Saccharomyces cerevisiae S288C: one gene and its partners. Changing the gene in region 3 together with the main gene of any one other region gives a genetic interaction. Each region holds a gene or a part of one and is shown on either strand. Other genes may lie near its edges.

Region 1 (2,560 bases), on a different chromosome or scaffold from region 3:
GATAGATGATTTTCTGGTTATAAAAAGGAACCAACAAATCGGTAGAAAGTCGACAGTATAACTAGTGGTGAAGCTGTTATTAGAAATGGTAGGGGGGTTTTTTTTTTGTCCTGTCGGCACGTATGGAAATTTATCGTCTATTAAACCTTTTCTTTGATTTGATTTCTACAGTGTACTTTTGTAGGTGTCCTTAATTTCCATTTTTCCGGGTATGCAAAGTTCAACAAAAAGAAAGCCCTGACCAAATTTCTGCGTACATAACGGCTACTGCGCTATCGTTGGGAATATTGTGTGAGAGTATATTTTCATGCTATATATTATAGTAAAAACATAAGAGATTAGACGTGAAAGGAGAGATAGATTACATATATGTATGTATATAACTCGGGTACGGAGAGACAAATTTCAACTTATAATAATGATACAGACGTTAATATGGATAGAATGAGGATACAGGAGCAGGGAGAATTACGGGAAATGGGAAAGAAAAACTATTCTTCTTATTTCTTACTTCCCTTTTTTTCCACTTTCAATAATAATGCTTTATTTATATGAGGCAAAACACCACCTGAAGCAATTGTAGCCCTGATCAAAGAATCTAACTCATCGTCACCTCTAATGGCCAATTGCAGATGTCTTGGGGTAATCCTCTTGACTTTAAGATCCTTGGCTGCATTACCAGCCAACTCCAGCACTTCAGCAGTCAAATATTCCAACACAGCAGTCAAATAAATGGCAGCTTTGGATCCTACTCTTGTTCGGCCGGTAGCGTGCCTTTTCAGGTAACGCTTAATCCTACCGACAGGAAACTGCAAGCCAGCCCTTGCTGAAGAAGATTGAGATCTCAATGAACCACTGTCTTTAGCGCCGGATTTACCTTTACCTCCATGAGCTTTTCCTGACATTATGTTAAGTTATTTTTACGTGCGGCTATAGTGCGAAATTGAATTTAACGATATTTTTTCCGACTGAAGTATAATAGAGTCCGCAGTGTTTTTTAGTTGGGGGTTGTGACTCTATTACACTGGATAATAGTTCAGCTGTTAAATAGAGCTGTATGCTTTATTTGTTGTTTTTTTTGTTTTGTTGTTTTCGTGCACGGAGCGAGCGCGGCGGGTTACGGAACACCAGCGGCCAGTTCTACGAGTAGTAAGTTACGGGCGTAAAGTTACTGTGTGCTAATCTAGCATGGATGCATTCAGTAAACCTTTTCAATTGAGTCTAACGTTCTCTAAAGAAAGAAGAATACTGCTATTTTAGGTATGTGCTTACTACCGCTTGTGCGGACCTGCCCTGATTCCAAGGTAAGAGACAGTGATTCTTGTCCTAAGCTCTTTTCTCCGGGGCGGGCGGGCGGCTGGCAGACATATTGATTGCGGGTAACACCTCCGAGGTTAATTAATCAAGCAACGTGCGGAGTTTTATCACATGGATGTTTCTTATCACCGGGTGCGCGCCACGCAATATATAAAACGGTAAACATACGCTGTTGCAAGGCAAGACACAACAGCGGCAAACACTTCAGAGAATACAGACGATAGTCATCAGCACTCCTAATAATCGTATAATGAATACTATACGAAGCTTTGTGCGTTGCAAAAAGAGCATACCAGGCGAAGAGAGCGCAGTTAGTAGGTGATCGGGAAATTGCTGAGTACAGTTGTTTGCCTCCTGTGATACCGCGTCACATGACCATTTAAAAGTGTCCATAATGTCATCGGTAACGTCACACTCACATGAGTTTTCCTGACTTCAGCCTCCTTCATCTCGCGTTAATACGCCAGCATCGCGCACCATATTACTGCCCGCGTAATCCAATTCCTCCTTTCGTTCTCAATGACTAAAACGCAAATCATTTTTCCTTTTTTTTTGAAACCGGTGGACGCCCCATAGAACTTCCAAATCAGGAAATACCGCAACTTCATCCGTTTTCGTTTCGCTTTAGTCCTCCACGAAAATATCTTGCCGGTTCCGCGAATGTTGTACTGGTTCTTCTGTGCAATGAGCCTTTTTCTCTTCTTTCTTTTTCCCTGCTTTTAAGATGGCTTGGCTATGGAATTACTCAATTTGGCACTTCTTTTGCAAGATCCAGACTTGCAGGGATTCTATCACCATTATTACCACACTACTATGTTATTGTTACGCTTTTCATCCACTTTTATATAAGTTATACGTGGTTTTACGAGTTCTAATATTTCACTTTTCAGCTTGGAATACGCCGTTTTAAGAGGACTAAAAGCAAGGAAATTACACACATAATAATATAAGTAATGATACGTCCATTATGTTCAAAAATTATTATCAGTTACATATTCGCAATTTCTCAGTTTCTACTGGCCGCTAATGCGTGGTCGCCCACAGATAGTTATGTTCCTGGCACCGTGTCGTGTCCCGATGACATAAATCTGGTAAGAGAGGCTACGTCTATATCTCAGAATGAGAGCGCATGGTTGGAAAAGAGGAATAAAGTCACTAGTGTAGCTTTAAAAGATTTCTTGACTAGGGCTACTGCAAATTTTTCAGATAGCTCAGAAGTTTTGTCGAAGCTATTTAATGATGG
Region 2 (6,093 bases), on a different chromosome or scaffold from region 3:
TCCGTCTGTATCATTCTTAGCAAGGCTGGACGAAGTATCATGCTCCTGTGAATGAGAATCTGTAAATTGGATATTATGCTTATTGGGAAATAGGTCATATATTTGGTTGACAGAACTCATATTCCTCAAGGAACTTCCCTATTTTTAAGCAGTTTATAACTTTTTGGCCTCTTATCACACGCCTGTTTCCTTTTTTCCCCTAGAGATGCTTCTATTAGTCTTCAACAGTATATGATTATGATAGGCAATGCATGTGTAAAGTTAATATATCAGAAGACTTTTCCCTGAGAACGTGTATGTATACTCTGTAGGTCTTTTGATATAACTCTGTATTTGCAACCCTGGCTTCACTTTTTGCACAATTATTGAATTTTTCTTCCGCCGAGCTTTAGAGAAAAGGATGGCACGCCGACAGTAATAAGAAATGGGTGATTATCAAATACTTTTCCTAAAGCTATAGAAAAAATGCACATTTCTTTTGTTTATATATTACAAATGCTTTAATCATTATTTACTTTCTTCTTGACAGAATCGATCAAGATCTTCAGCTCTAATATACTATCAGGAATGTCCTCCTTACCTTGATCGGCCCCATCTAGCACAGGAGTAACAGGATTAATTGGTGTTTGACATATTTCTTGATTTCCCAGAATCCTTTCAGAAACGTTATTCAAATATACAGATGTACTCTTCTGGTTTTCGATTAATTGTTGGGACTGTATATCGGTGGTGTTATTCCCGCTAAAACTTGCAGCTGGTATGTTATTACTATGGCTTGGTGTGCTAACGGGTAATACGGTATGTAAACTAGTAACTCTCGAGTTTTTCCTGAATTTCATCGCCAAATGAGATGGTAAAGGTGGTGAAGTAGACGAACCAGAGGTGTTTAATCTAGAAGCTAGAGGAGTTTTAAATTGGCTCGAATGAGAAGTTGACAGGAGTATTGGCAATTTCCTTTTCTTGCTTCTTGGTGATGCATCTATATGCGATTCTAGATGCGCATAGGTGTTCCTTTCGCCTATTTGTTGTTGGTACTTGTTTTTCTCTTTTTCCAGCATTTTCTTCATCTTTTGATCAATGTCCTTTGTAGTTTGTAGTTGAGTGCTACGTGAGTGAATGCCGGCCAATGACCTTTTCTGACGAAGTGTTTTATCATATTTTCCCCTTTCTGTCAACTTGTACACATAAGAATGTGATATTTCAGATAATTTGTCCTCTAAACACTTATGAGGGGATTCTTCGGTGAGATTCATTAAGTCAATGCGTTCAATAACACTACTATAGTTTTTAGATATTCGGTTTAATTTTAGTAAGTGTTTAATGGTACTTTCCGATAAAGTATTTTCTGCGGATTCCCAATAAATAATCAAAAGGGAAAAGCATATATTTGTATTTAGAGAAATACCAGTGATTAGCTTTATCAGTTCTTCACCATCATCTTTCAGTTTCATCTCCAAATCGAATATATCTGGATTCGTAACACCTGTATTAAATATCAATAATTGCAAATCACTAAAATCAGATGGTTCATATTCATCATCAATACAAATTATTCTGCTAGAGATAATATTATTGCTGAACTTTTTTGAATCCTGTGCTGTTTGCAGATTGAACTTACTTAAGATCCAACGGTTTGAGAGTGATGTCCAATCTTTCGCATAAATGAATAAATTTGCCGGAGTAAGAGAATTGGAGGGGAACTTTTTCGTAAGGTTATCATAATAGATTGATTGCATCTCTAACGGCCGCCAAAGTTTTGAAATCTTGGTTAAATGAGTCGCAAACTTATTAAACTCGTCATTTACAGGTGAAAATATTAGATTCTTATCTGAAGATGATAGCATAAATGATGAATTTACGTTACCCTTATACGGGGTTCTAAACAAACATGTAGATTTTTTAAAACCTGGTACTCCTAATTGGTGGCTTACGAGTTTAATTTCTTCCCTTTTTTTTTCTTCTAATATACGGTTCTTCTTTGCTTGAGAATAAGATGCTTGCCATTTCTCAAAGAACTTTTTTTTTAGAGTGGAATTCCTTTTCAATTCAGCACGAGAATCCATATATATCAGATACAACCTTTCATGAAGAAATGCGTCATAAAGTTCACGGGTCATTGTGTCAATGAAGTCCTTCCTATAATTAGCCTCTGAAAATTCACGCTTAACAATACTAATCACGCTACTGTTTACCACTTCTTTTACTAAGTCATTTGCAATTTGTTCAGTGATTACTTGTTTGTCCGCATTTTCTTGCTTCTTTTTCAATTGAGTTTTCTCTTCTTCTATTCGTTGTTCTTCTTTTTTCCTCATTTCTTCTTGCTCTGAACTCAACTTCTCATCATATGCACCATTGCTGGTCGTGGATATCATATGAGCCTTGGAAGCTTCCACCGTAGAATTCTGTGCTGATTGATCAAAAACAAATGGGGAGCCTCCGTCTGTGACGGTTTTAATTTGTTGTTGTTTCTGTTCCGATAGGTCTCCATGAACCTGTGGCGTTAATAAAGGATTTGTTGATAAAGTATGAGATTGAGATATTTGAGGTAATTGCTTAGATTCCTGTGAAAAAGGAAAGTGGTTGGGCCGCGTTGCAACTCTTTTTGGAGAGGTATTGATCTGTGGTTTAACGGATGAGTTTTGGTTCAACTTTTCGTTATAGTTGTTTTGAAAATTTTCCATTAAAAAAGATTGGTCTGCGATAGAAGGTATTCTATCCTTTTTTGGGTCCTTCACATAAACCGAAGAAGCCAAATTATCTTCACCGCCATTAATTAAACCCTTGTAAGTAGTTTTCTGTAATCTCCTTTCTAAGCAGGTAAGGTATGTTTTTTTTAAAGGTTGTGTTTCTGACAATTTGTGAGAATAATGTTGCAATGTTTTCAAATCGGCTGCATCCCCATTTATGATTTCAATTGAGTAATAATTACAAAATTCAATTATTTCTTGCCGATTATTAAAGAGTAACATATTTTCCAAATAAATAAATGGTATTGGTTTATGCTTTTTGTTTAAAGTATGTGATAAAGCTCTTAGCGCATAAAATCTAATATCCGTCAGATGCATTTGCAAAAAAAATCCCATTAATAATGGCAAGCTGGGTGATTGCATTAACTGGAAAAACCTTGCGTAGAAGTTTAAACAATTCTCAGTTTTAACAAACCCGCGTTCAGTATAAGCTGAGTTAGATATAACCCTTCTGAAACATAAAGCCATTTGAACTAATTTATCTTGGAAAATATGTTTTGGTAATCTTTGGATATTCTCATCGTATTGAGGGTCTCTTATTTTACTCAGGAGAGCATAAGCTCGAAATTCAGCCTCATTTGGGCATGTTCCGCCGCTGGAACGAACGTCATCGTATATTTCTGATAACGTGATAAGGGATTTATGCAATTGTTCTAGTTCTTGTTGAAGCGAAAATTCCACATTTGATTTCACCATGATATGCAAGATCAGAAGATGTATCCTAACAATACGCTCATTACAATCTACCGCCTCAGGTCCTGAATAGTTCTGATATGTAAAGTCCTGCCTTATGGATCTCATCCTATCCCATAAGAATCCTTCGCTTTCAGGCAATGTTGTTAATAAGTTATCTACAATATAGTCCAATGTCTTGACTAAAATATGGGGTGGCCTAACATCAGAAGGTAAAGGAGGAGCTGCTGCTGCTGCTGGCCTCGCGAAGACCTTCAATGCTTTAGTTCGAGAAGCTTTTTTATCATTTGGTTGATTTTTTTCATATGAATACACAGTATATTCAACGTTTCTTCTTGATCTCTCGAATGTGGGACACATATCTAAACAGGTACCTTGAAATACTATAGCATCGTAAAGATCCTTTGCTGAGTCAGCTTTATCCACTAGCCCTTTTTCTTCCATTATCGATCGCTCAGTATTTCTCATTTTTTTTAGTGTTTCATACAATTCATTGAGATCATCTATGGATTCTTCCAATGAGATCATTTTTTCTTGATTAGCCTTGTCCCAGGGATCTTGTACAAAAGCTCTTTTCTCCAATTGAGGTTCTTGATTAATCAAAAACCTTGGTAATTCTCTTGCTTTGTGCGATCTCTTCTGAAATCCCAAATTATCAGGAGAGGAAATCAGTGGACCTACAAGTTGAATGGTCTTGGCATCGTTTATCATATATTTTTTCTTTTTATCTGGTTTATTTTCCGTGTAGGAAGGTGAGTGTGAGAGATTTTGTAACGGTTGCTGCGACTTCTTTTGAGAGGTAGAGTGCACCATGAAGACATTTTTCGAAGGTTTCGTTTCATTGCTATTTAAAAAGAAATTGCTGTTGTTAACAGTACTATTGGCACTAGTGTTATCATTATTTCCATGCCCTTTGAAAAAATTGAAATTAGTGGAAGGCACTACTGAGCCAAATGATGTGTTCATTTAAGGGATACCTTCCAAGAGTATTACCTGAAATGAGTACCAACAGTGCTATTGTGAGTGTATCCCAGCTTTGAGATATGTCTGCTGCTTTCCTCTCTCCTTTTTTTTCCCATGTAAATGAGTTGTTTGTATGCATCACTACGCTCTCTGTTTAGCTTTTTTCTTGGGTCAGCGAGAGAATTACCTTTTCTTGAAGTGGAAGAAAAATAATAAAGGCTTGGTATTATACTATTGAAAAGAAAAGAAAAGAAAAAATAATGAACATTGAATCACGAATTCTCGAAACTCAAGAAACTAATAATAAAGATCTACGTTTCAAATTATTATACGTATATTCATACACATATACTTATTTACTTGTTTTGTATTTTTTGTTCGTTCGAAAAAAAAGTAAGATGAAGACATAACTTTGCAATTTTTCCTTAAATCAAGTTTCTTGCTAGTAAGATTTCGGCAATCAAGACACCAGAACCAGCGGCACCAATAATGGTGTTGTGGGAAAGGACAACCATTTTGAAATCTAACAATGGGTCTTCTCTGATTCTACCAACGGAAACACCGTAACCGCTGTCTCTGTTCCTGTCCAACCTTGGTTGAGGTCTGTCTGGTTGTTCCAAAACATGAATAGTTTGCTTTGGAGCAGAATGACAGCCTAATTTGTAGGCATCGCAGACGTATTCTTTTAGGCATGTCTTGACTTGCTCGACGGATGGAGCAGGTCTGTTCTTGAACCTCAAAGAGATACATTCGGTGTGCCCATCGGAAACAGCGACTCTGTTACATTGAGCAGAGACTTTGATTTCTTCTGGAGTCAATAGTTTGACGTGTGTCTTGTCTTCTGCTAATGGAGCCAAGATTTTCTTGGTCTCCCATTCCATCTTGTCTTCTTCACCACCAATGTATGGAATAATATTGTCTAGAATATCAATACCTGGTACACCTGGGGAGAAACCAGCACCTGAGATTGCTTGCAAAGTAGTAGTGGTCAAAGCATCAATAGGACCGAATTTTTCAATCAAAGGCTTCAATGGTGCAACCAAACCTGCAGTGGAACAATTGGAAATACAGATAATGAACCCTGGTCTTGGCTTACCTTGAGCCTTGGCGGTGTCAAGCTTTTGAGCTACAATATCCAAATGCTCAGGATTGACAACAGGAACAATCAATGGCACATCTTGTTCTCTTCTATAATTCTTGGCATTGGAAACAATGGCGATACCAGCTTCCATGAATTCCTTTTCGATAGCGCCAGCATAGTCAGCATCCAATCCGGAAAAGACGATGTCACACTCTTTAAAGAATTCAGATTTACATTCGGAAACAATAATATCGGTAGCAGATTCCGGTAGCAAATCGGTTTGCTTCCAGTTCACAGCGTCAACGTATTTCTTGCCAGCTGATCTAGAAGAGGCACCAAGAACTTTCAGTTCGAAATGAGGGTGATTTGCCAACAACAGAATGAAACGTTGACCAACGGAACCAGTAGCACCCAAAACACCAGCAATTTTCTTTCCAGCCATTTTAGAACGCTTTATTTCTACAATTTAATTTGTATGTGTACTTAAGTGAAAACAAGAAAAACAAGATTTAATTTTATACTCGAAAGTGAATGAACAAATAAATATGGTTCTTTTATTTATTTTTTCTGCTTTTCTATTTTTCTCTAACATTTTGAACTGGTAGTAGT
Region 3 (4,999 bases):
ATGACAATGCAGTAAGAATAGAGCCTTCTTCCTTGGGTGAGGAAGAAGACAAAGAGGCCAAGGATAAGAACTCTGCCTTGCAGCTAAAACGATCACGCTATGACCCCAATAAAGTTTTTTCTAATACGAACCAAGGTCCAGAAAAGAACAATTTAAAAGGAGAACAACTTGGATCACAAAAAAAGTCATCAAAGTATGATGAAAAAATAACGTCAAATAATGAACTTACTACAAAGAAGGGTCTACTAGGTGACTCCGAGAATGAAACTAAGTACGCCTCTTCTAATTCTAAATTTAACGTAGAAGTTACTCATAAAATAAAGAATGCAAAAGAAATTGACAAAATAAACAGACAACGCATGTGGGAAGAACAACAATTGCGAAATGCTATGGCGGGGCAAAGCGATCACCCTGATGATATAACATTGGAAGGCTCTGACAAGTACGATTATGTGTTCGACACAGATGCAATGATTGATTATACTAATGAGGAGGACGATTTACTACCTGAAGAGAAACTTCAATATGAGGCACGTCTAGCACAAGCTTTAGAAACTGAGGAAAAGCGTATACTGACTATACAAGAGGCAAGAAAACTTTTGCCTGTACATCAATACAAGGATGAGCTACTACAAGAGATCAAAAAAAATCAAGTTTTGATTATAATGGGTGAAACCGGTTCTGGTAAAACCACACAGTTACCCCAATATTTGGTAGAAGATGGATTCACTGATCAGGGAAAGTTACAGATTGCCATAACACAACCACGTCGTGTGGCGGCCACTTCTGTTGCTGCAAGAGTAGCAGATGAAATGAATGTTGTGCTTGGGAAGGAAGTGGGTTATCAGATCCGTTTTGAAGACAAAACAACCCCAAATAAAACGGTTCTAAAGTATATGACGGATGGTATGTTACTAAGAGAATTTCTTACAGATTCCAAATTAAGCAAATATTCTTGTATTATGATTGATGAAGCTCATGAACGTACTCTAGCCACAGATATCCTGATAGGTTTGCTGAAAGATATTTTGCCGCAGAGGCCCACTTTAAAATTGCTTATATCATCAGCAACAATGAACGCAAAAAAATTTTCAGAGTTTTTTGATAATTGTCCCATTTTCAACGTTCCTGGGAGAAGATATCCTGTAGATATCCACTACACATTACAGCCGGAGGCAAACTATATACATGCCGCTATAACAACTATTTTTCAAATTCATACTACGCAAAGTTTACCGGGGGATATATTGGTGTTTTTAACGGGGCAAGAAGAAATTGAAAGAACAAAAACCAAACTGGAGGAGATCATGTCTAAATTAGGTTCTAGAACAAAACAAATGATTATAACTCCTATATACGCAAATTTACCCCAAGAGCAGCAATTGAAAATTTTCCAGCCGACTCCGGAAAATTGTAGGAAAGTTGTTTTGGCAACTAATATTGCGGAAACTTCATTGACCATTGATGGTATTAGATATGTCATTGATCCTGGATTTGTTAAGGAAAATTCGTACGTACCCTCCACTGGAATGACCCAACTTTTAACAGTTCCATGCTCAAGAGCTTCAGTTGATCAGCGTGCCGGTAGGGCTGGTCGTGTTGGGCCGGGAAAATGTTTTAGAATTTTTACCAAATGGTCATATTTGCACGAGTTGGAACTTATGCCTAAGCCTGAGATCACAAGAACAAATCTTTCTAATACGGTGTTATTATTATTATCGCTTGGCGTTACTGACCTAATAAAGTTTCCCCTGATGGATAAGCCCAGTATCCCCACATTACGGAAGTCTTTGGAAAATTTATACATTTTAGGTGCCTTAAATAGCAAAGGGACAATCACTCGGTTAGGTAAAATGATGTGCGAGTTTCCTTGTGAACCTGAATTTGCAAAAGTGCTTTATACAGCTGCTACGCACGAACAATGTCAAGGTGTACTAGAAGAGTGTTTGACCATAGTTTCGATGCTACATGAAACACCTTCATTATTTATTGGTCAAAAAAGAGATGCTGCGGCAAGTGTGTTAAGCGAAGTGGAAAGTGATCACATATTGTATTTGGAAATCTTCAACCAATGGAGAAACTCTAAATTTTCCAGAAGTTGGTGTCAAGACCACAAAATTCAATTCAAAACGATGTTGAGGGTAAGAAATATTAGAAACCAATTATTCAGGTGCAGTGAAAAGGTTGGATTAGTTGAAAAGAACGACCAAGCCAGGATGAAGATAGGCAATATAGCGGGCTACATAAATGCTAGAATAACTCGATGCTTCATCAGCGGGTTTCCGATGAATATTGTACAATTAGGCCCCACCGGCTATCAAACCATGGGTAGGTCATCAGGTGGGCTGAACGTTAGTGTTCATCCTACCAGTATACTTTTCGTTAATCATAAGGAAAAGGCGCAGAGACCAAGCAAATATGTGCTTTATCAACAATTGATGCTAACGTCGAAGGAATTTATCAGGGACTGTCTAGTTATCCCTAAGGAAGAATGGTTGATAGACATGGTTCCACAAATCTTTAAAGATTTAATTGACGATAAAACAAATAGGGGGAGGCGGTGAAGGTTTTTTGACAGGTGTATGTGTATTGCTAGAAACGCAGGCTCCATTCTATATGCACGTTTGAAGATGTGGTATGCGTATGTATATATATATATATATATAGACTAAAGATAGATAGCATAGATTTTATCGTTGTAACTTGCGATAAAGATCATCCAAGACGTCTCTCTTAATTTGCAGTTCTTGTTCACGTTGATGGATGATATCCTGCCATTCTGATGGACTTTTACTTAATAAATCCTTGGTATCTTCGTTTTCCGATATCAAAGATTTACAAAGTTTCAAACGATGTCTAATCGAACCTGTTAAGGTTTCCAATTGATTTGAGAGATTGTTTGGATCCTTCCTTATTTGGTGCAGCGAATAAAAAATATGCGGTATAAATTCACCGTTGGAACTGGTGGAGGGAGTACTCAGATTTTTCGGCTGCTGGTTGGTAAGATAGTCTTTTTCATCTCTATTTTCTGCAGACGAAAATTCTTCCTTTGTAGCCTCAGCATTAGGTTTATCGAGAGTAGGATTCGTAGGCAGCAGAATCTGGTGTATCTGATTTAAAACGTTGTTCTGTAGATTCATTTTATGGCGACTTTCAGTGCTCGTGTCTCTCTGGTAGATGCTGGTATGCTTCGCCTTCTTTTTCCCATTTATGCATGTTCTCTTTTTTTCTTTTATTTTCTTCAATTCGGTTACAGTTAATGGCCGCAGTAGAATTGCAATCGATACTAATAAAATCAGGTTTTATATGATATTCTATCTAATTATACGTACAGAACTAAAGCGGAAGTGAAAAGGTAATGTGGAAGATATACGAAGACAATAATATTATTATATACACAATGAAGGAGAATGAAAATGAAAGATAGAAATATTGGGGGTGGGATTATTGGTTACTTGTAAAGAGATGAATTAAAGACTTAGCGGCTTTGATGCTTGTAGGTGTTTCTTGTCTCTGATACAATGTGCGATTATGACTGTTTGAATGCTTTGTGTTTATGTTGTTGCGTATTGGTGTGGTGGTATCTGCGACGTTCATATCTGCGGTAGTGCTCGAGCTTTCGCTGACACCGCGGAAAGATGTAAAGGAAGATGTATTATCGTGAGAGCAAATCGAAGATGGAGTTTTGATCTTAGACCTAGCAGGGGTTTTATAATGACCCTGAGATAGTACTAATTTTCTTCTCCTAGTTAAAGGTTCTGATTTACTGTGAGTCGCGACTTTGGAAGGCCTCGTAATGCTATGCTTTGATTTCAAGTCTGTGAAATTTTTGTCTGTTTGCTTAGTCTTGTATTTATAATAGGCGAACTGTAAACGAATTTGCAACTTCTTGGAAAGCTCAGAGTAATCTCTAGACGTTGTTTTCGTACTAATACCATCCTGGCATGAGGACTTACTGGCACAAGCCATACCTCCGCCACTGCTCCTCATTAGGGGAACAGGAAGACTCTTCGTGTTTTCGTATACTTCAGGACTAACCATCAAACTCTTGATAGAGGGAAGACACACAGTCCCGACGTTGTTTTCTCCATGGTTTCTAGGCTCGCTAGCGTCTGCAATATTGGCAATTGCCAGTTTGTTGATCTTCGAGCTGGAAAACTCCCCCAGTGGTAGCCTCTGCTTCATAATGGACATGAACGGTTGTTTTTCCTCTATGCGTACGTCGCTGCTGCAATTGGCCCTCTCCGCAGCCTACTTAGAAAACAGTGTTTTAAGTTTGTGTATATATAATCTATAAAAGCAAATAACCAATTACACAAACCTGTCAAAAACCTTCTCCTCTATCTACTGTCGTTTGTTTTTTCGTTTGTTTTTTCGCCTTTTTTTGTTTTTGTTTTTGTTTTCTGTTTATTTTCTAGCCTAAAAAGGCGCGTCGACGCGACGCGCCTTCTTTTCGCTCTTTGAAATAATACACGGATGGATAGTGAGTCAATGTCGGTCATTTACATTGGGAAGGGCATCTGAGAAACCCACTGGCTCAAATTAGACAATTGGCGTGGCTCGACGAGATCGCCATTACCGCTTGCAATTTTCAAGATGTAATCGTTCAACTCCGCGCTGCCGAGGATGTCTACGTGTTCGGCGCTTTTTGCTCCACCACGTATATCAAATCGATCTGGCTGGTGTTTCATTTCCACAATAGTAACGTTAATTCCGGCAGGGTTGTACGGTGAAGCACCCTGGGCCCATTTGTGACACATTGAATGCGCCACGAGCGGAACGGTTCCGTCCCCCTCGGTGAGGAATACAGGTTGCTTGCTTTCGTAGTCGATGGTCAAATTCAGAGCAGAGGAGTCATCCTCTTCCTTATATACATATGCCCTTTCAGTTGGGTTGTTCACCCCGTATATACAATAGATTTTCATGTGGGGAGCTTCTGGAAGTGGTACTTCCATTGGATTCGACCAGTGCTTGTGGTGTAGCTCATTTTTTCTTAACT

What was found. A genetic interaction does not mean that the proteins touch.
Region 1: mutations in CSE2 (region 3) and HTZ1 together harm fitness more than expected from each alone (negative genetic interaction), as found in Saccharomyces cerevisiae (5 studies listed by BioGRID, with this or other methods).
Region 2: mutations in CSE2 (region 3) and SAC3 together harm fitness more than expected from each alone (negative genetic interaction), as found in Saccharomyces cerevisiae (4 studies listed by BioGRID).

The regions. Positions count from the first base shown.
Region 1 is NC_001147.6:303,079-305,638, forward strand, and holds HTZ1 (histone H2AZ), read right to left. Parts: upstream 906-2,560; coding exon 501-905; downstream 1-500. Other genes in the region: PLB3 (lysophospholipase), read left to right, coding at 2,271-2,560. UniProt on the Saccharomyces cerevisiae protein: Variant histone H2A which can replace H2A in some nucleosomes. Nucleosomes wrap and compact DNA into chromatin, limiting DNA accessibility to the cellular machineries which require DNA as a template.
Region 2 is NC_001136.10:770,190-776,282, reverse strand, and holds SAC3 (Sac3p), read right to left. Parts: upstream 4,407-6,093; coding exon 501-4,406; downstream 1-500. Other genes in the region: SSY1 (Ssy1p), read right to left, coding at 1-120; HOM2 (aspartate-semialdehyde dehydrogenase), read right to left, coding at 4,829-5,926; YDR157W (uncharacterized protein), read right to left, coding at 5,951-6,093.
Region 3 is NC_001146.8:641,885-646,883, reverse strand, and holds CSE2 (Cse2p), read right to left. Parts: upstream 3,141-4,999; coding exon 2,691-3,140; downstream 1-2,690. Other genes in the region: DEAH-box RNA-dependent ATPase PRP2, read left to right, coding at 1-2,564; NRM1 (Nrm1p), read right to left, coding at 3,445-4,194; LRO1 (phospholipid:diacylglycerol acyltransferase), read right to left, coding at 4,503-4,999. UniProt on the Saccharomyces cerevisiae protein: Component of the Mediator complex, a coactivator involved in the regulated transcription of nearly all RNA polymerase II-dependent genes.